Linked DNA regions of Ovis aries. The protein of the gene in region 1 binds, or shares a complex with, the protein of each later gene. Links are inferred from orthologs where the notes say so. Each region holds a gene or a part of one and is shown in the gene's direction. Other genes may lie near its edges.

Region 1 (5,112 bases):
GTAGGCTGCCCCCTGGTGGTCATTTTTTAGAAGACGGTCGTGCTGTGTCTGAGGATGCCTGTGGCTGTGCTGCCCATTAGCTTTTGGCTTCTAATGGCCAAGAGAAAGATGTTATTAGGCCAAAAAAAAGTGTGTTTATTTCAGAATTCATTGGGGACAACTAACAAAATAACATTTTTCTTTAGTTAAGCGTGGAACATTTTCATGGGAACCCATTTTTTGGAGTATATTTAAAAAGAATTTTTTTTTTGAGCGACTTTGAAAGTTCAGCTAGATTCGTTTCTAGAAACAAATACAACACCCAAACTGAGTTGAGAAAAAGAGATTCTGTCATCTTTTGGAAGCAGACACTCCAGTACAGAATAACGAGCCCAGTTCCTTGCTGGTGGAATTAATATTTATGGTGGAATTCATTTTAAATTAATTTTAATGGTGGAATTTAATCAATAATTAATATTTTGAATTGTTTTCCTAACCACACTGTGTTATCACAGTGCTGCCAGTCCACACACATGGGCACAGGATTGCTAAACTCAGGAGAACCACCCACTTTGTTTAACTTCCTGTCTCAGTCATCGTGGAGTTTGGTCTTGTCACTAGAACTGCTTACATAATGTATGTTTCCGGAGAAACTAAAGTAAAATTTTAAGTACCATGTAATTTAAAGGTCAAGTCAGCTTTACCAAGGCTTACTAGATTTAAAGATAAAAGGTACCAGTTCCTTCCCTTATTCCTTCCAGTTGCTGGCAGTTTGAAGTTCAGCAGTGAGAGACTTGCCTTAATCTGTGGCACCTGTCTAGAGTCAGAGTACCACAGAATCAAAGGCAAAATAAAGGGAAAATCCAAGGAAAGCGTGTTCGTTTTATCTCCTTATGCCAAACCTCTGGCACATTTCGGTTTGCTGGAAAGGTCATCCATGACTATTTGGTATCTGAAGCCAAACCAAAGGCACAATTCTATTTTAATCTCAAAGATTAGTTTTGTTTCCAAGTATATGATTAGGTTATGTTCCCCCAGGACAAAGGGTGGGGTAGTCTAACGGCATAAAATATGAGACCGGTTTAGAAATGTTACTCGTGGTGACATGCTCGACCTAGTCTAGATGAACCTCTGCTCCAGCTGGTGACATGCGCGACCTAGTCTAGATGAACCTCTGCTCCAGCTATTGCTATTGCTACTGCTAAGTCACTTCAGTCGTGTCTGACTCTGTGCGACCCCATAGACGGCAGCCCACCAGGCTCCCCCGTCCCTGGGCTTCTCCAGGCTAGAACACCGGAGTGGGTTGCCATTTCCTTCTCCAGTGCATGAAAGTGAGAAGTGAAAGGGAAGTTGCTCAGTCGTGTCCAGCTGTAGTAAACTTAAAGACATCAATGACAGACTTCTCTGCCTGGTCCCGGACTACTCATTGGGTACAGCTTTCATTCCACATTCTTATCTTATTTTAACTTTGCCTTTCAGAACACCTCTGCCTTCAGTTTCTATCAGAGAGTACACGAAAATCAGCATGTACATACATATATGCTTGGGGCATCTGGTGGGGGCTGTACTTACTAAATGACGTTCAGTCAGTTACATCATGCCTGAGGTTATATAAGGAGAACTGTTGTTGAGGTTGTGGCAGGGAGAACTCCTGGGAACATTACAGTGGAGGAGCCCTCCTCTGAAAGAAGCAGCCGAGAGAACTTCATGCCCTATTTCCTTATGTTTTTGTCTTGTTATCTGCCGTGCCAAGCGGCATATGGGATCTTAGTTCCCCGACCTGGCATCAAAGCCATGCCCCCTGTGCTGGAAGTATGGAGTCTTAACCACTGGACCGCCAGGGAAATCCCTTCCCAGTTTTAAGTGCTGAATACCTCTTTTAAAACTAAGGTAAATGACATGTTTCCATTTTTTCATCTGGCCTTTTCAAGGAATAGAATCTGTTGGCCTGAATTTATTCGCATCCCCCCCTCCCCATACCATCACATTTTTCTTTAAATGCCATCCACTTTTTCGATTCCAAATGACAGTGTTTAAGTTCTCATAATTGCATGGACGTTTGAACACTTAGGCTTTTCAGTTCATAAACATCTGTGACCTAAAACCAAACAAAGAGCTATAGATTAGATGGGCTTGTGCATTTCCAGGCTCGACCTCTGACCCGCTATCTGCCTGTGCGGAAGGAAGACTTTGATTTGCGGAGCCACGTAGAGACTGCTGGCCACAATATCGATACGTGTTATCATGTGTCAATCACAGAGAAGACCTGCAGAGGATTCCTCATCAAAATGGGTGGAAAAATTAAAACCTGGAAAAAACGTTGGTTTGTTTTTGATCGGAACAAGCGCACCTTCTCTTACTATGCAGGTAGGTCATAAAAAAATCCAAGTGATATTCAAATCAGGAATTTTCTGTTAAAGAACAAAAGCAATAAAATTCAGAATAAATAAGTAAAATGAAAAGTAATAGATTAATGGCAATATTAGCTTGATAGATGTATTCAGATCATATGGTCCAATATTTATGAATTTCCTCTAGAAATAATAAAAATTACATTTTAAAAAAGTGTGAGTCAGTTTTGTTCTGGTTCTGAAATAAACTCAAACCCAAATAAATATTAAATGGAATTTACTTTTTAGACCAAAATACTATCTTTTAAACCATGAGATCAGAAAAGGTTTCTATTTATTTATTTATGGTCATATGCCCTATTTAAGTCACACACAATTAGATAGCTTAGCTGACAGCCATTCAGCTCTAGTTCATGGTAATTTCAGCAGTGAAAAGCTCCTTGGTGAACTATTGAATAAGTTAAGTATTTACTGGGAAAATTTCCAGTAAATACTGGAATATTTTTGGATTCTTTAAATGATAGATTATGAGACTCGTACCCTACTGAATCCTCTATGAGTACAGGAATATTTGTGTAACCAGTGTACTTATTAAGAAGCTATTAAGAAGCCCCTTATTTACACATGGATTTCATATGAAATATGTCCATTAGCTGCACAAGTATAGCTGTGCTCTCTTTTCAGCTGCTGAATAAGAGTAGTGTCAGACTAGAGGTTATGAAGACACCCTGCCTTGGGGTGATAGTTCCAGCATTTATGAGCATTGTTGGGAATTGTTACAAAGTGTAGCAAGTAATAAATTTAAAAAAATAGTCCAGTCATTTAATCTGTAGGGTGTGGTCAGGTATGTTTATAAAGAAAGGTGTCAGAAACCAAGAAGCTTGGGGAAGAAAGGAGCCTCTGTCTATGGAGACCCAGAATCCCAGAGTGAAGGGTGGCAGGGTACATGCCTTTAAGCAGGGGGCACCAGAGTGAAGGGTGGGCAGGGTACATGCCTTTAAGCGGGGGCTCTTTGGGTGGGGCTCCAGTTTCTACAGTGGAGAGCAAATGGCCTAACTCTCACTGGTTACCTCTTTTGGGCTTTCTGACTTTGGGTTTTATAAGAATCCAAAGACAAGATCTTCAGTTAATACAATAGAAGAGATGTCTATGTGATAAGAAATGCCAATTCAGTGTCTGCAAAATGCATAAAGAAATTTTGCTATGTGCTAGTCTCCACTGACAACCTTAGCCAGAATTTTAAAATAATTCAAATAAAACAGCTTTGCTCATCTCTGCTCCTTTTTTTAGGAGCCTTATTTCATTCTTTCTTTAGTCTGACAGGTGAGAGGTTCATTGCTTGTTTCTGGCCCATATAAATGTGTTTTTCAAATTTAAACTTCTTAGTGACCAGTTTTCAATTTTTTTTTAAATACCAAAATCTTTTGGTATATGAACGATTACTCAGAACGCTAATACCTAAAACAGACAAAAGTTATATTTAATTCAGCTTTCTAATATTTACAGATTGTATAGCTGACTGGTGAGACCTAGTTTGTCGAACGAAACGCTGCCCATTTGGCTCTGTTTGCAGCCATCATCAGCTTTCCTGCTCCCGCCCTCCCCACCCCGACTCTTTCCCAGATGCCACCAAGCACAGGAATGCATCAGCCAGCAGGCTTGTCCTGCAGATGTAGTTCATGCTGGACTCGATCCCATAGGTGCCACGAGATCAAATCCCATGTCAGCAAGCTAGTCAGCCTGGTAAATGAACACGGCATGTGTGCAGGGCCTAAGCCAAACTCATAGGTCTCCCTGTGGAGCAGGCCCCTGTGCTTGGCCTCCCACATAGTAACTGAGCAACTTTAGAAGAGTCTCTAAACAAACCTAAGGCACAGAAAATATGTCTGTAAATTGCTAGGATAATGCTATTGAGAAGGAATACTAGAATTATCTCATCAATTTACAAGAGCCTTGTATTTTCCATTTTTTCTGACTCGCCCTACAAACAAAAGTTTTCTTCCCCCAGTTTTCTGCCTGCTTTGAAACACTGACAAGGTTTACTTTTATCTTCAGATTTTATTTTATACCCATTTCCAGAAAACAGAGTATTATTGTTTTCCAGTGAATGAATTATTGCAGGATCTTTTCCACCAAATGTTTGAGAAACACACTCACCTTTTCTTTCACAGAAACGGATGGAAACCCACTGAACATGGTATTAATTAAAGTGTTTCCCTAGGAAGAGCAAAAATAAACACAAAAATATGGTCTATGCTCAAATAAGTTTAAAAAATGCAGAGTTAAATGCAATTATATAGGTTTATTTTCTGCTGAACTTCTCAGGGCTGATATTTTTCAAATTTGCTTTTTACTGTTGTTAAGGGTATGGGGGAGGAGGGGGCAAGGACTCTCATTTTAGTAAAAACTTCAAAATGCAACTAAGTCTAAATAATTGAAGTAAGTCTCTGTCCCATGACAGAAGTTCTGACCTTTTCTAACACTGTTAAGCATGAAATATCCTTTCAGATTTTCTCCATGCCTTTTCATATATGGTTCAATGTACATAGGTATTGTTTCTTCTTTAATCCATTTAGGACCAAATTATTCACCCTGTTCCTACCTTTCTTCTCATAATGATATTTCAAGGTTTTTCTCTTGAGCACATGCGTATTTACCTTGCTCTTTTCACTGGCTGTGTAGATTCCATTGTATGACTGGTCTAGAATTGAATCAGTTCCCTATTAAGGCTCCAGCAAGTCTTTTGCAGCATTGTGGGTGGCACTAGTGGTAAAGAACCTGC
Region 2 (5,824 bases), on another chromosome or scaffold:
ATATTATCCTTTTTTCATAGCTGTAGTAAGTTGGGAGCATACTCTATTTTTTTAAGTTCTCTGAAGTATCTTTTTCCTCTATGGTCACATTTTCTCCTCTGTCAGCCCCAAGTTGGAGACTTCCCTTAAATACCTAACAGCCCTTGGTTATCTGTTCATATCTAAGATGAAATAGTTGGACGCTGATGACGAATCTTTAGAACTTGGGAGGGTCTTGCCAACTTCACTCTAGGGTGAGTGGGTAGGAAGCTGGCTATTGTGCCAGAATAAAGAATGCTTTACTCTTAGTCATTAAATGCTCCCCAGAGATTATAAGAACTTGACTTTTAGCCTGGGATAAATGCCTAGCTATTGTATCTGAGGTATGGGGTGGGGAGGGCTGGGGTACTGCTGTTCTACATAGAAACCTTTATTTAGTTTCCTTGTTTTCATCCCTGCTTCTCACTCTTGGTCTGTTGTGCTGATGACTCCAAATTTCAGTTTCTTTAAATCACTTCTGGCTGCTAGGCCTCCTTCCTCAACTGCAGTACTCATTCCCTACACCTATTCCAAACTATGGTTTCTTCCATTTTGTTCAGTCAGACCACACTCACTTTCTCCGTGTAAAATTAACAACAACAAAAATTTGGTGGCTCCCTTCCCACTTTCTGTTCTGTACTGGTTTGTATCATTTTTCATTTCTTTATGAGCATTTTAACAGGGTTTTAGGAAGAGGAGGCAATTAAAGAATGTACTCAGCCAGCTTTAATTAAAAAAAAACAAAACAAAACCCTGGGACTTTGCTGGTGGTCTGAGGTGGTTAAGACTCCACGTTTCCAGTGCAGGGGGAATGGGTTCCATCCCTGGTCAGGGAACTAAGATTCCGAATGCTGTGTGAGGTGGCCAAAAGAATAAAAAAAAAAAAACTTAAATGTAGATTAAAGAAAAAAAAAAAAGATATGTAGGGCAGAGTAGGAAATAAAAAACAAGAACAGTGGAATGACAAAAAGAGAAACCAAAAAATTTTCTAAGCCTGTGATGTGGACAGTATTCCTGTGTAGGCAGAACAATGCTTAACTTAGCACCTTCCACTCTTCAAACCTACCCATTTCTGGGTTTGACGATAAACCTGAGACATCTCGTCCACACCTCACTTTACATTTAAGAAAAGCAGGACCCAGAAGTACTGGGATCTTTCCAAGGTCACACAAGTAGAGGATGGGCGAGGGGAAACCAGGTAGATAGCATGAAGTCCACTTTGCTTTCCTTCCACCTCCTCACATCGCTGGGGAGCTTACAGGACGAGCGGATCGGCAGTCAGGTGAAGACCGTGAGTCACAGGGGGTAGGCTTTTCCTGAGTAAAGAGTCTGAGAAAATCAAATACTTTAGGACGCTTCGTTTGGCAGGACCGCGCCGTCCCCCGGCAGCAGTACTGATCGTACAGAAGGGGGCGACGGTGTGGCAGGACCGAGACCGGGGGAACCCGAGGGCGGCGACGCTGGGCGGAGGGGGACGCGGTGACGAGCGAGGACCCTGAGGAGGGGCGCGAAGGTGGCGGTGGGACCACGAGGGAACTCACGCTGCTGTGACTCAACTGCTCTCAGGGTGTTTACTGATAAAACTCTCGCTGGCAGAGGCTGCAAACAACCCACATCATCACTCGTGGGGCGGCGACAGCTTACCTACAGCCTCACAGTAACGGCGCGCGCCTCAGACTAGGAAACCTGCCAGCGCTTCGGCACCACAAACTGGGGCGCCCGACGCGGGGCCGCCTGCCACCCGCGAGGACAGGGAAGGCCGCCGACGTTAACCGCGGACAGGCCGCCGGCGGGGTCTCCGGGCGGTGCGGACAGTCCGAGGGCCTCGGGGCGGGAAACTCACCTGCCCCCGGAGACCTGGGCACCGGCTGCGCGGCACCGGTCCACCGAGGCGGTAGTGGTTGCCCACTATCAGCGCCGCACCGCCTCCTACGGCAAGCGGAAGGAGACAGAGGCCGAGCGCCCCGCGCGGGGAGTGTGTGCGCGTGTGCACCCGCGCCCGCCATCCCCCAGCCCACCGGCCCCTTGGAAGGCGCCCGAGGTCCGCGCGCGGCCGAGTAGCCCTCCCAGGAGGCTGCGGGACGGCGAGCGGGCGCGGCCGGGCAGGGGCGGGGCTTGCGCTGACGTAGGCCCGGGGCGGGGCTGAGGACTCGCGCAGGGGGCGGGGCGCGGTGACGTCGGGCGCCCGGGCCGAGCTGTGGCGGCGGTGGTAGTGGCGGCGGCGGCGCCCGGGCTGGCAGCGGCATCGGCAGCCCAGAGGAGGGTGAGACGGCCGCGGTGGCGGCAGCTCGGGATCGGGCGGCGCCTGGAGCTTCCCGCCCGTCGCTGGCGCCAGGGCCCTCGGCTCTCCTGCGCCCGCTCCTCCCCACGGCCCTGGCTGGGTCCGGGCAGCGCGCCCCCGGGGAGGGCGGAGCCGTAGGTGAGGCGCGGGGACCCCTCCCCCTCCGCGCCCTGCCGGGGGGATGGGACGTCCGGGAGGGCGGCCCCACCCAGCCCACCGGCGGGTGTCCCTGGACCGGCTTGGGGGGCGGCGACGGCGGGGACCAGTGGGGGCTGCGGGCGGCCGGCTTCAGAGGCGTGATGTTGCGGGCGAGGTGGGGATGTACACGCCTCGGGGAGCCCCGGGAGGCTGGGGTGCGGTCGGGTTGGTCTGGGGTTTGGGTACCGATATGCAACGTTGAGATGAGAATTCTGGTCTCTTCTGTGAAGTAGTAAGATGGGAGATGGAGGGTTGGCTTCCAGAAGGGAGATGAGCTGTGGATGTTGCCTTTGAAGCAGTTGGAGAAGCTATTGCACTAGGTCTCACGTTTCTACTTAGGGCTTTTTTTTTCCCCCCCTCTTTTGGCGGGGTGGGGGTCGAGGAGGGAAGCGACTCCCTCAGCTTTTGGCTCAGGGTGGGGAAATTGTGGAGCGTGGACGGGTTTGGAGTTTTACACCCTTGAAGGGGAGCCGAGATCTTGGGTTAGACAACTTCATTCTGGCAGCAACATTAGGTAATAGGTCCCCTTACACTTTATTTCTAAAAGGCGTTATCTTCCAGTCTTTTATTTATTTATTTTGGTGCCTATACGATCTGTATACCTCATCTTCAAGTTTTATCCTGGCCCCTTAAGAGAAGGCCCGAGGATCAGGTGGTTCCTTTGGAAGTCACGTTTTTGAGGAGTAGCTGCAGGTGGTTGTGGTTGACTGCTTTGGATGGATAAAATGAACAATTTGCACATTCCTGTTGGCTCTAATTAAATGAAACATACTTAAATGTTTTAAAGCACGACTGTCTTTTGCAGCTCAGTTTTTAGTAGATCTTGACAGTTAGCTGTTTTGTGTTTGAGAATTATTGGAGATTTCTGAAGTTTCTCAGTTGCATGTCTTTATTAGACATTTAAAGTGGAATAAAATTTTTTGGTAGGTCCCTACATTTTTGAGAAACATTCTTAAAGTCAGGTGCTCTTGAAATGTTTTTGGGAGCATGTGTCTGTAGCTGCATAGGGAGATGCTACTAAGAGTAAAGGTTCTTCACAGCAGTGTTTCACAACTTAGCACATTAAATCAGAATCTCTTTTTCTGGATTCCTGCTCCCCATCAGATTACAGAACTCCCTGGCCTTACCTGTCAGTTAATATCATTTAAGCTATTTCTTGCTGGGAAAACAGGCCCTGAGATGGACATGTATTATGTAATAGATGGAAGTAGGCATGACTCTCAATAATTCATTTATGGAGGAAGAGAAACCGTCATGAAATGGAATTTAAGCAGTGACTTTCCCAAGGCTTATTCAATTTATTTGGGAACATAGCCAGAGAAGTGCTTTCCTGTAACCCAAGAGAGAAATATACAGGGTGAGTGTCAGTGGTTGCCTTTTTTAACATGTCTACTTAATGAGCAGACTATTATCCTCCAGCAAATACTTGTGCTTGAAGAAACTTATAGGAAACAGATGATATAATAGCTATTAAGTGAAAATAGGTGTGGTCCAGTTTGTAATTATAAACAAAAGATTTAATTAACTATTCAGACAAGTCAAACTATAAGTTGATATAATAATGGTTTTGATACCGGATTAGTCTACTTGGAAAGATTAAAATTCACATATCTGGTTTTGGCTTTCATATTATACTTTGACTTAATTGAGTATATATGGGGACAGATGTGAACTAAGATACCAGGTGAAACTGTGTATTTTGCTAAAATGATATTTCCATGGCTGACAGTGGGATGTGGTTCTCCTTACTGAAATGCAGTCATATAATTTGGGAAAAGTATAGGGTGATCTATTTCTCTTTAGGATTTCTTATGCCTGAGAAAACCGGTATGTTTTATTTTTAAGAAGTGTCATTTACTAGTCATTACTGTGATATCTTTGTTGAGTCTACTGGGATATTCCCCCCCACTTTTTTTTAAATTACTAAGGTCAGATAAGTATGTCAGTCTGTTAGGTCAACTTTAATACTGAAACGAAAAGCGAAGATTCTTAAAGCAACAACTGTTCTTTTTCTATGCTACATTTATGCTTTTAGAGACAGTATAAGAGCTATTAAATGTGTTTTGCACATACTATGACAAAAACGTTGATGGAGAAAGATGAGGGAGTGAAGTATTTTGGCTAATCAACAAACAGTGTATTGATTATGGATTTTCAAACATAAAATGTAATAAAGTAAATTAAGCATAAAGGTTATGTGTAATATAGTTTATTTCTATGACTTGCTTTTTCAAAATGTGAGCCTTTGGGGTGCTGGCTCATTCATTTATTCATTCAACAGTTATTTTTTGAGTATGGTTCTGGGTACATTTTTTAGCCTTTGGGGATATAGCAGTGAACAACACTGACTAACATTCTCACCTTCATAGAACTTACCTTCTGGATACCTTCTGGGGAAATGAAGAGGAACTCAGCAAAGGAGATTAATAAGAGGCCATTGAGGTAGAAGGAAAACCAGGAGAGTGTGATGTACTGGAAATGAAGGAAAGGAAGTTTTCAAGGAGGAGGGAATGATCAACTGTGTCATTGTTTAAAGATGTGTCAGACTGTTGGGCAGGAAAGAATTCTGCCTGATGTCTAATATCAGAGAGATGACTAAATGCTTTTTAGTGTGAGATGGGGGCAAATGGAAGAATCAGTTTTTTACTTCCTTGGATTGATTTAAAATAAATATATGTATAAATATATATATTTAAATTATATATAAATCATTTTATGATTTATATGTGGTAAATCATATAAATATATGTTTTATATTTAAAATAAAATCATATATATATTTTAAAAATATATATTTCATACTTTATTCTTTTCAGAACAAAATATACAGCCTGGGAGTTTATACTTGTACTAAGGAGAGGGCTTCCCTTGTGGTTCAGCTGGTAAAGAACCTGCCTGCAATGGGGGAGACCTGAGTTCTATCCCTGGGTTGGAAAGATCCCCTGGAGAAGGGCCAGGCTACCCACTCCAGTATTCTGGCCTGGAGAGTTTCATGGACTGTATAGTTCATGGGGTCACAGAGAGTCGGACACAACTGAGCAACCTTCACTTCGAGGAGAGGTATGACGTTATTGTTATTGATCATTTATACACTTATATTTTTAAACACATGTATCAAATCAGAAGTTATAAAAATACACAGGGAAAAAAATAAGTCTCTTCTCCATTCAGTTGTTCCTGAAGGCAGACACTGTTTTCAGTTTCTTGTTTTTCCTAACCAGTGAAATTTTGTGCAATAATATGACATTAAACTATTTTAATGCATAAAAATAACAAGTATTTTATCCTCTAGGTATTTTTTTCCACAGGCTTAATATTTGTTTTTAT
Region 3 (5,112 bases), on another chromosome or scaffold:
ATCCTGATCACTAGACAGCGAGCTGGCAGCATCAAAAAATGGAGTCCTCTACTCCAGAGGTTTCCTTCCACCTTCCGCTCACCAGGACTCTCTGTAGAGCCTCCGCTTCTAAGCCTAAATGCTGCTGTAACCCATGCTAATGGCACCTTGCAAGCAGCTCTGTGAAGACCTAGATGTGCCCAGCAGCCGGCAAAGTGCAGGGCAGGAATATCCTGGCGTCATAAATCCAGCTCCTTCACCCCAAAGTACATCATATCACACTAACTCCCAGGGCCTTGCAGTTCCTCCTTGATGGTAACATTTCCCCAGACTCCAGGAAGAAATGTTTTTAGCTGAACAGGTCTGTGGGAAACACTGAAAACGATCATTTTAGACTTACTTTTCTTAGAGGAACATCCTTCTGACATATTACTTTGAAGATGGAGGTGACATTTAGTTATAGCAATATCTGAGGAATTACCCCCAAAGCGATTTTAGGAGAGGGAAAGCTCAGTTTTCCTTTTTAAAGAATACAGTGGTAGGGAGGTTATCCTCAAAATAAATAAAAACAGGATGCTTTTAAAATGAGGGAGAGCTGGGCAGCATTTTCAGAGACCCCAGTACCTCTTATCGTGGCTGTAGGGTTTGAATGGATAGATTCCTTTGATTTTCCCAGTGGGTCCTATTACCTTGTATAGGTATCCACATGTTAATATGGGTCAACAAAAGTGACTTCTCTCTCTTCATTGCCTTAAATGTCCAGCATATACACAGGATGAATGAAAATGATCTATCCAGACAACTGTTCTCAAATGTGTTTGCATCTTTCTTAGGAGAAACGTATTGTTGATACTGAGAGGCCAGTCAATGCTGCTTACCATAACCTGTAATCACAGCTCTGCTTCATAGACAAGTCAGCCTCTGCAACTTTTAGATCTTGCTGAAACACTGTCCCTGTGATTTTTGTACAACTTTTACTTTGCTCTGTAAAAGTGCGTGTTCTCACATCGAGGAATCAGCATCCTTGTGTTTGCTAGTGTGAGATCAACAGCTAAACAAATGAGGAGAGTTGATGCTGGGAAGTCTGAGGATAACAGATTTGGGTGTTACTCTTTTAAAGCAAAATCAACAGGCACTAGTTTCCTATCAAAAGAAAAATAATTTCATTAAGAAAAATTTATGACTATCCAGTTCATTCTTTTCTTAGTTCCTGGAACATAACAGGTTATAATTAAGAATAAATTTCTTAAATAAAGAATTCCCAGAACTTGGTAACCAACTCGATGTAAATGCCAAAGGGGAGAAGGGAATGAAAAGAAAATGACAAACAGGTTAGACTGGAGTAACAGGGAGAAAATTACCTGGTATTAATGAAATATGAAATAAGAAAATGTAAAAGAAGACTCTCAGGAAAATTGGATGGATTTGTTAAGTCCCAGGTACTCTTGGCACATCAAATTGGGAATATCCACTGACATTCAGATACTGAATGTAGCTGGGGAGAGAGATTTTTAGGCTCAGAGATTCTGATACCAGTTGCTTTGTTCATGAAATGAGCAAAGCCATCATTTCGTGCTGAGCATAGAGTGAGTGAGTCTGTTAAAAGATCCTGCAGAAGGAACCCAGGAGAGAATCTTGGAGTGAAAGAGGAAGAGAAAACAGCGCTACAGCAAAGAAATTTTCAGATGGCAGATCTAGGAGCTTGTTATGTCAGGAAGCTAAAGGAGATGATGGCTTTGTAGGAAGTAGTCAACAGTACCAAGCACTGCAGCAATTTCGAGAATGATTTCATTATGGATTCAAATCAGTTAAGGAAAGAGTATGATAATGCTATTTTACCTTTGATCTCAAAGGAGATATAATTTCCAAGTTAATAAACTTGATACACAATGAAGTAGATGGTAGAGTAGGATGTAGATTTGTGTTCCATTTTTAATATTTGCAGGGTGCTCTTTCTAAGTCACTGGTTTATAGATCAACAGAAGAAGAATTCTTAATAGTTGCTTAAACCACGGCGGTTAACACCTAGGCATGTTCACCCATGTTTTAAAATTCATCAAGTGTATATTCTGTTCTTGGAATAGCTGAAACAGAGAAGGAGACACCGGAGCACCTAGATCTGGCTGGTGTATCTTCTCGGCCGAAAAATTCACAGGGAAGTAGTGCCTTCCAGATGTCTCCACCATCTCCAGATTCCAAAAAAAAATCCCGGGGTATTATGAGACTCTTCGGAAAGTAAGTAACAGAGCTTTGTCTTATATGTGGCTCAAATGTAGGGATGATTGGCAAACTGGCTAAAAATGGTTACAACATTTTAGGGCTTTTGTGATCCTTTTACAGAGGGAAGATTGTGATGGGATTCATTAACTCTTTGAGTCTCAAAGTTTAAATCCAAATGTCTTTTCTAACCATACATACATAAGCATCAGTTTAAAATGTTCAAATTAAAGTCAAAGACATCTTCAGGTCTAATGTGCTGTGTCTTCTTTACAGACTTAGGAGAAGTCAGTCCACTACATTCAACCCAGATGACATGTCTGAGTCTGAATTCAAAAGAGGAGGGACAAGGGCAACTGCGGGGCCCCGATTGGGGTGGTCTCGTGATTTGGGACAGTCTAACAGGTAGGAGCAGCCACATGAATGGACATTTGCATCACCTCCCAAGCATCAAGGTCTTGTGAGCATCTGCAGTGTTATTATTGACCCTGGGTTAGACAGCTGAATCCATTGCTTACTGCTGCACCTACGGAAGCTTCTGTCATCCTTAGACTAGTGCTGTTTGGCTGTGGTTAATGAGGAACTATACAGAAGATGAGGGCTCTGTGAGCTAGGTGAGTAACCTGAGCTGAAATGTCAGCAACATCTGTACTAGAATGGCTCTTGGATTTAAATTTTACATAAAAAGTAATTATAGGAACTCTAAAGCATAGCTCTGGAAAGATGGGAAAGTGTAGTGGTTAAGAATAGGTTCTACAGACTTGTGGTTGCCAAGGGGAAGAGGAGATGGGGGAGGGATGGAGTGGAAGTTTAGGATTAGCGGATGCAAACTAGTATATATATGATAGATAAACAACAAGGTCATACGGTATAGCACAGGGAACCATGTTCAAAAGCCTATAATAAACTGTAATGGAAATGAATATGAAAAAGAATATATATATATTTATATATCTAAATTACTTAACTTCACACTAGAAACTAACACAGCATTGTAACTCAACTATAATTAAGGGGGAAAAAGAGAGAATAGGTTCTAGAGATAGACTGCTTGGACCTGATTTCTGACTTCACCACTTCTTGTAAGCTGAGTGACCTTAACCTATTACTTTCATGCTCTCTGCCTCTGTTTCCCATAATATGAATTAGTACTTACCCCCAAAAGATGATTGTGATGATTGAATGAGTTGATACGCTTTAAGTATCTGGCAAAAAAATAACTGTTCAGTGTACATTAACAGGGCTTCCCTGGTGGCTTAGTCGGTAAAGAATCTGCCTGCAGTGCAGGGGACCACCTGCAGCACAGGAGACCTGGGTTTGATCCCTGGGTCAGGAAGATCCCGTGGAGAAGGAAATGACAACCCACTCCAATATTCTTACCTGGGGAATTCCATGGATAGAGGAGCCTGGCAGGCTACAGTCCATGGGATTGCAAGAGTCGGGAACAATTTAGCAACTAAACCACCAAACATTAACAGTTAATATATAATGTGAAAGCACTTAAAAGACATACATGGTTTTGGAATTCAGTTTATCAGGACTGTGTACTGTTAAGACTCTAAGAACTTTTCCTACACCTTTATCCCAGTTTAGGGCTGGTTTGGAACTGCTCCACAGACTTGCTAAACATCAAAGGGTGTGGTTGGCAAACATATAGCACAAGTCATTGATACTAAATCTTAAAAAAGAAAATAGGCTGGAAACCTTTCACACATGGTCCCTCCCACCAGACAGAACACTGGGCACCGGTTTCGTCAAGGAGGAAACTCTTTGGCCTTCTTCAAACATGGAGCAGTCTCGTTTGCCATATGTTCTCTTGTACACAGTAGAGGAACTCTTTGTGCTGCTTTAAAAAGAAATTTTCTTATTTGTTGCCACACTGTTTTTTTTCCAAACAAGAATGCCATTTGTAAAAATAGCATAAGAAGTTAATACAATATTATAAACCAACTAGATTCCAGGTTAAAAATTAATTTAAAAATAGCAAAAGAAAGCAAAAATTTACTTTGATTGCACTATCTCACACTCAGGAATGGCATATTGCCCTCTTTTCATTGAATACCATGTGGAGAGAAATTGTAGTTCTACTAAAGTTAATTCAAGTTAGACTTGAGTTTCCTTCAGTCTGATCTAGTGTTCTCTGAAGATTCAACCTCTAAACAACATTGGTTGGTACTAGTATAATACCTTGATCTGTGCGTTTAACTCAGTCTTCTTCCATAGAACAAGGTCTTCTTAAGTCATGTTGAATCTTTTGTGGCTTTGTTTGACACAAGGGAGCGTTCATCTCCCTTGTGAGGAAGTATCATTTCCTTCACCAAATACATCCTAAAAATTAGACTTTTCATAGTCAGATGGGAATCTCTGTATCTATTAAACATACAGTTGTTCCACCTTCATGATAAGTTACAGGATTGGCTTTGAATTGTTTTCATATGATTGTTCATTTTCCCTTAGTGACTTGGATATGCCATTTGCCAAGTGGACCAAGGATCAGGTTTGCAGTTGGCTGGTGGAACAGGGCTTGGGGTCCTACCTGAATTCTGGCAAGCACTGGATTGCATCTGGCCAGACACTTTTGCAGGCTTCTCAACAAGACCTAGAGAAGGTGAATGCCTCTATTTTGTTTATGTGTTGGAGACAGAGAGAAAATGTGAACATAGGCTTGTTTTATTTTCCAGAAAGGAAAGTGAGTAGTGCTAGTAAGTACTCTGCAAAAAGCTTGAGTTCCCTGCTTTGTGCTTATTTTATCTCATGGACTTAAAAAGGGAGGACCTGGTCTTAATGATTCCTTTGAGACACTTAAGCCACTGGGCATTTTAATGAAAGAATCATTATAGAGCCATAATCATAAAGTTTCAGTTCATATTCTCAAAACCATTCTGCGGCTTTATCATTGGTCCATCTTCTCAATGT
Region 4 (5,112 bases), on another chromosome or scaffold:
GCCTTGCTGCTCTGTCTCATCTTGGCCTGTGTCCCCTAGGACTCCAGACTGGGAGGCTCTGGACTGGACACGGCCGCTTGAAGGCCCGAGTACGTCTCAGATTAACCTTATCTGAAACTGACCAGTTAGCGCTCCCTCCAAAGCCTGCTCTTCCTGTAGACATCCCCCCCTTGGAGATCAGCGCCTGCCTCCTTCCCTCGCTCCTGGGGGGCCGTGGAGAGGAGACCTAGTCCCTGTGGCCCCCCTCCCTGCCCGCTTCCCAGCCATGATGCCCAGTGCCCATGCCCTGTGGGCAGTCTGTCCGGTGTGAGGACACGCTGGATTGCTTCTCCCCAGCGGGACTGGAGCTTTGTGTTTGCCAGTCGGTGCTGAAATCCTGACGTGAAGGGCTGTTCTTGTTCTGTAGCTGATCGATGCTCTTAGAAGCCACCTTGTCTCCAAAGAGTTCTGCGTGTGTGCGCGCCTGCGCACGTGCATAAGTTGTGATAAAATACATGTAACATGAATTTAACATATTAACCAGTTTATTGAATGACTGGGTGACTTCAGTGGAGTCAGGCTAAGAGATGGCCTTGGGGTGCCTTCAGCCTTTTTCCCAGAGGAACACGCCAAAGCCTGGTGGCCTTGTAGACCTTACCTTTTTTCTTTACTCTCCCCGGTGTTTCTAGGTCACTTGTCTGTGTGTTGTTTAAGAATCTCTTCATCCACTTTGTTGTTAGGATTTATGTTTAGGAAAGTATCTCAGACTTCCCTGGGTCTGGAGAAGGCGGGCTTGGATTCCGGGTTCTCCCCTGGCACGGGCCTGCCAGGTCAAGGTGGAGGCTGAAGGCTGGCCTGAGTAGTGGTGGTCTGTGTGGTCTTGGGGTCAGCGGACCTCCTCTTCTCTGGAGGGGCAGGGAGATCCTTTGTGTGGAGCCTGGAGAAGCTTGACCGTGTCAGTCTTCAGAGTCTCACTCTCTTTCTAAATTTGTGTTTACACTTAGTTACTCACTCATTTAACTGTTTTCTAGGAGTTTGCAGCACTTACTAAAGAACTGAATGTGTGCAGGGAGCAGCTTCTTGAAAGAGAAGAAGAAATCGCTGAGCTGAAAGCGGAAAGGAACAACACCAGGGTCAGTAGGGGGATTCTCACGTGCTGACATTCGCCCCGCGGGGGTCAGCGCCGGGCTCCGTGCTGCTGTCTTTAAACTCTGTCTGGTTTTCAACCCATTTTCCACATTTTCCCACTGAGCAGACCAGGGTGGGTCGGTTTGGGGTTCTCATGCCTCCCTTCAAGTCTGTGATGAGCTAATGTAATCTCAGTACATTGGAGGGGTTCTCTCAACTTACATTCTTGCCCATGCTTCACTGTGTGTGGGATCTTGATTCCCCGACTGGGGATTAAACCCACGACCCCTGCAGAAGTGTGGAGTCTTAACTACTGGGCCACCAGGGAGGTCCAGTCTAACTTTAGACTGAACTGGCGGGATTCCGACGTGCCTTAGCACAGTTTTGGTCTTAGCGTGAGGCTGAGAGGAGCCACTGCCCCGAATCCCAGCCTGAGGCTGACGGTGCTGCTCTGGCCTCTCCCTGCAGCTGCTGCTGGAGCACCTGGAGTGCCTGGTCTCACGGCACGAGCGGTCCCTGCGGATGACGGTGGTCAAGCGGCAGGCACAGTCCCCAGCTGGCGTGTCCAGCGAGGTGGAGGTGCTCAAGGCGCTGAAGTCGCTGTTCGAGCACCACAAGGCCCTGGACGAGAAGGTACCAGCCACCCGGCCCTCCTGGATTTGTACACTTGCTGCCTTGTTAGGTGGACGACGCACGTGTTTGTGTAACTAGTTGACTTTTGAGCGTCTTGTATTCTTGTAAATACGTTTTTTCTGTAAGAAGTCAGAGTTTCAAATATAGTTAAGAAGCGCTGCCTGTGTGCATGCTGTCATGTCCGAGTCTTTCCGACCCTGTGGACTGTAGCCCACCACGCTCCTCTCTTCATGGGGCTTCCCAGGCAAGAACACTGCAGTGGGGGCCCACCTTCTACTCCGGGGACCTTCCTGACCCAGGGATTGAACCTGCCCTCTTGTATTGACAGGCGGATTCTTTACCACTGAGCCCCCTGGGAAGCCCCCAGTTAAAAAGTATTAGTTGGCATAAATATTTCAAGATTTATTAAATTCTGTATATCAATTTGCAGTTAAAAACTGGGTAATAAAATTAATTTAGGATAACATTTTGTTCTCTCAAACTTAGAATTGAAAGCTGTTAACAAGCAGAGTTTCTTGACATTAAGATCAATGAGAGACATTAAAGGTGCTCTGTTACGGTAGCCGTGTATGAGGGTGAGTGTACAGTGAGACGTGTACTAACGTGCAAACACACGTCAGCACACAGTGACTCGGCCCCTTTCCTCTCAGGTGAGAGAGCGGTTGCGGGTAGCGCTCGAGAGGTGTAGCTTGTTGGAAGAAGAGCTGGGCGCCACACACAAAGAGGTAAGCTCGATCCGCCGTCATGTAATTCGGCTAGGGCTTGTCATTTTTATCCCTTCGTTATGAAAAAGGATGAAGGCTGTCGCGGTGGGCATCGGGTGTTATTTGTCTTTCTGGTTGAGGACCTGCCCACCTGGGGCATTTTAATGACCAGTAAACTAGCCTTGTGGCTCAGAGCTGCAGGATCTCTCCAGCGCCCCTTTGTCCAGGAGAAGACAGATTCTGACTCTGATCACCTGGCTCTATTCAGGGTGGACAGCATCACCATGCATTTTCTTTTATGTTGTGTGTTCCGTTCAGAGTTGTTGCTGTGTTCACTTACTTCTTTACTCTCCTGCGATTTTTTGGTTTCAGCTGATGATTCTTAAAGAGCAGAATAACCAGAAAAAGGTACTAACGGACGGGGTGCTTGATGTAAATCACGAGCAGGAAAGCACGCCGAGCGCCAATGGAAAGGCAAGTCCTCCGTCTCGCACTCTGCCTGGTTCTCGTCTTACTGTCCAGTCTGTGCGGGGCTTTTGGGAACCTCTCACCAACACGCCATGTAGGTTGGAGCGGCCGTGAGGGTCCGGTGAGCTCCCAGAGCGCAGAACGCAGTGTGGACCTCACCGATTGCCCGGAGTGCTGTGTCCCCTCCCTCCCGAAACAGGGCCACCTAAGGCTTCCTTCCCCCCTTAGAGATCCTCCGACGGCTCTCTGAGCCACGAGGAAGACCTGGCCAAAGTGATGGAGCTCCAGGAAGTCATCGACAAGCAGTCGCGGGAGCAGAGCCAGATGAAGGAGCGCCTGGCAGCCCTCTCTGCCCACGTGACGGAGCTGGAGGAGGACCTGGACACGGCCCGGAAGGACCTCATCAAGTCCGAGGAAGTGAACACGAAACTGCAGCGGGACGTCCGCGAAGTGAGTGACGGCGGCCGCGTCCGTTGTCCTGCGGTGGACTGTGGGTCCCTTGTTCTCCTGGGGACCTCAGCCTAGGGGTGGCTGCATGAGCAAGAGCAGGGCACCGGCGTGACCGTGGCTGGTGGCCTCCCTGCCTCTGTGTCGCAGGCTCTGGGGCCCGGGCGGTCCGTTGGCAGTGGACCGACACGAGGGTGGCCCTGGCACTGTGCTGCACCCTGGGTGTGGACTCCGCATTCCTACAAGTTCTGGGCGGCCCGTGTGTTCCTTTCTGGAAATTCATGCATCCATCCATTCAGTTATTGGCGTATAGCTGCTTTGCACTGCTGTGTCGGTTTCTGCTGTACAGCAGGGTGAGTCCTATCCCTCTTTTCCTGGATTTCCTGCCCATTCACTTCACCACGGAGCACGGAGCAGCGGTCCCTGCGCGGTGCAGTAGGGCGATGTTACGCGTGGATCCGTAGTGAGATGTGTCCCTCACTGGCGATCTTACGCGTGGATCCGTACTGAGATGTGTCACTCACTGGCAATCTTACGCGTGGATCCGTAGTGAGATGTGTCCCTCACTGGCGATCTTACGCGTGGATCCGTACTGAGATGTGTCACTCACTGGCAATCTTACGCGTGGATCCGTAGTGAGATGTGTCACTCACTGGCGATCTTACGCGTGGATCCGTACTGAGATGTGTCACTCACTGGCGATCTTACGCATGGATCCATAGTGAGTGTTACTCACTGGCGATCTTACGCGTGGATCCGTAGTGAGTATGTGTTACTCACTGGCGATCTTACGCGTGGATCCGTAGTGAGTATGTGTCCCTCCTCCCCCTCAGACCCTCAGGCCCGAGCTGCGTGACCATGTGGAATCGTGATGATTCTGGCAGTCACGTCTGCGGGTGTCGTGAGTTGTGACAAGCTCCCTAGCGGTCACTGTGAACGCAAGAGAGTGCTGGCTCAGGCCTCCTCCTGTGAGCCTCGCCTCTCCTCTGTGCGCAGACAGACAGCGCCCACGCTGCCCCCCCACCCGCCGTGAGACCGTCTCAGGGAACCCCTCCAACACGTGGTACAGCAGGGGTACTTGTTTAGTAGCTTGGTGTGAGTAATTCTGGGTGAGAACTCAAAGCAGAAATATTTGCACACGTTTATACAACCTGTTCACACTACTCTTTGGCAGTAGGAGGAGATTAGGTGTCAGAGTTTAATACGTAGAGAATTCTGGAAAAGGTGTTTTAAGACCTTTCACTTTTAATGTTAGGACTTTCCCCACGTTGGTTACTAGTGACCAGGGAGGGACCTGAAATGGGTTTTGAGCCGGCGGACAGGAGTCGCACCACCAGCAAGTTCTGGCCCTGGTTTGAGCACTTCATACATGTGGCGTAGCTGCTTTAGAAGAACTAGGCTTGAGAAGGCCGCGCCCAGTTGTGTTAAACTTTCAATTCTCTTTCCACTCGTTAATATTCTCACTTTAATTTTGAGGAAATTGCATGAGATTTTTCCAACTTCTACCCGAGGAAACGAGCCTCAGAGCTCCCCATTGGATCTATTGAAGGTCCCTCCCTGTTCTGGGTCGAGCCTGCCTGTATGGTGTAGCAGACAGAGGTCCTGACTTCCTGCCGGATACCTTCTGTCCTGGAATTCTTGCAGTAACAGGGTGGTTTAGTATACTTTCTGTTTGCTGTGGGGGTTTATTATGTAGAAAAGAAGCTTGGGAAACCGAGTGCCCAGACAGAACGTTAAGACAGACGGGTGCCAG

The links.
Region 2: PHLDB2 (region 1) and ERC1 share a complex: the UniProt entries of both Homo sapiens proteins name them as parts of the cortical microtubule stabilization complex. The link is inferred for Ovis aries from reciprocal best matches to the Homo sapiens genes PHLDB2 and ERC1.
Region 3: PHLDB2 (region 1) and PPFIBP1 share a complex: the UniProt entries of both Homo sapiens proteins name them as parts of the cortical microtubule stabilization complex. The link is inferred for Ovis aries from reciprocal best matches to the Homo sapiens genes PHLDB2 and PPFIBP1.
Region 4: PHLDB2 (region 1) and PPFIA1 share a complex: the UniProt entries of both Homo sapiens proteins name them as parts of the cortical microtubule stabilization complex. The link is inferred for Ovis aries from reciprocal best matches to the Homo sapiens genes PHLDB2 and PPFIA1.

What each region holds. Positions count from the first base shown.
Region 1 is NC_056054.1:177,683,275-177,688,386, forward strand, and holds part of PHLDB2 (pleckstrin homology-like domain family B member 2), read left to right. Parts: intron 1-2,126; coding exon 2,127-2,346; intron 2,347-5,112. UniProt on the Homo sapiens protein: Seems to be involved in the assembly of the postsynaptic apparatus. May play a role in acetyl-choline receptor (AChR) aggregation in the postsynaptic membrane.
Region 2 is NC_056056.1:213,611,480-213,617,303, forward strand, and holds the start of ERC1 (ELKS/Rab6-interacting/CAST family member 1), read left to right. Parts: upstream 1-2,197; 5' UTR 2,198-2,281; exon of another isoform or gene 2,282-2,437; intron 2,438-2,471; exon of another isoform or gene 2,472-2,612; intron 2,613-5,313; 5' UTR 5,314-5,557; intron 5,558-5,824. UniProt on the Homo sapiens protein: Regulatory subunit of the IKK complex. Probably recruits IkappaBalpha/NFKBIA to the complex. May be involved in the organization of the cytomatrix at the nerve terminals active zone (CAZ) which regulates neurotransmitter release.
Region 3 is NC_056056.1:187,728,141-187,733,252, reverse strand, and holds part of PPFIBP1 (liprin-beta-1), read left to right. Parts: intron 1-2,063; coding exon 2,064-2,214; intron 2,215-2,472; coding exon 2,473-2,601; intron 2,602-4,653; coding exon 4,654-4,804; intron 4,805-5,112. UniProt on the Homo sapiens protein: May regulate the disassembly of focal adhesions. Did not bind receptor-like tyrosine phosphatases type 2A.
Region 4 is NC_056074.1:43,849,527-43,854,638, forward strand, and holds part of PPFIA1 (liprin-alpha-1), read left to right. Parts: intron 1-1,010; coding exon 1,011-1,112; intron 1,113-1,575; coding exon 1,576-1,740; intron 1,741-2,390; coding exon 2,391-2,465; intron 2,466-2,816; coding exon 2,817-2,918; intron 2,919-3,140; coding exon 3,141-3,362; intron 3,363-5,112. UniProt on the Homo sapiens protein: May regulate the disassembly of focal adhesions. May localize receptor-like tyrosine phosphatases type 2A at specific sites on the plasma membrane, possibly regulating their interaction with the extracellular environment and their association with substrates.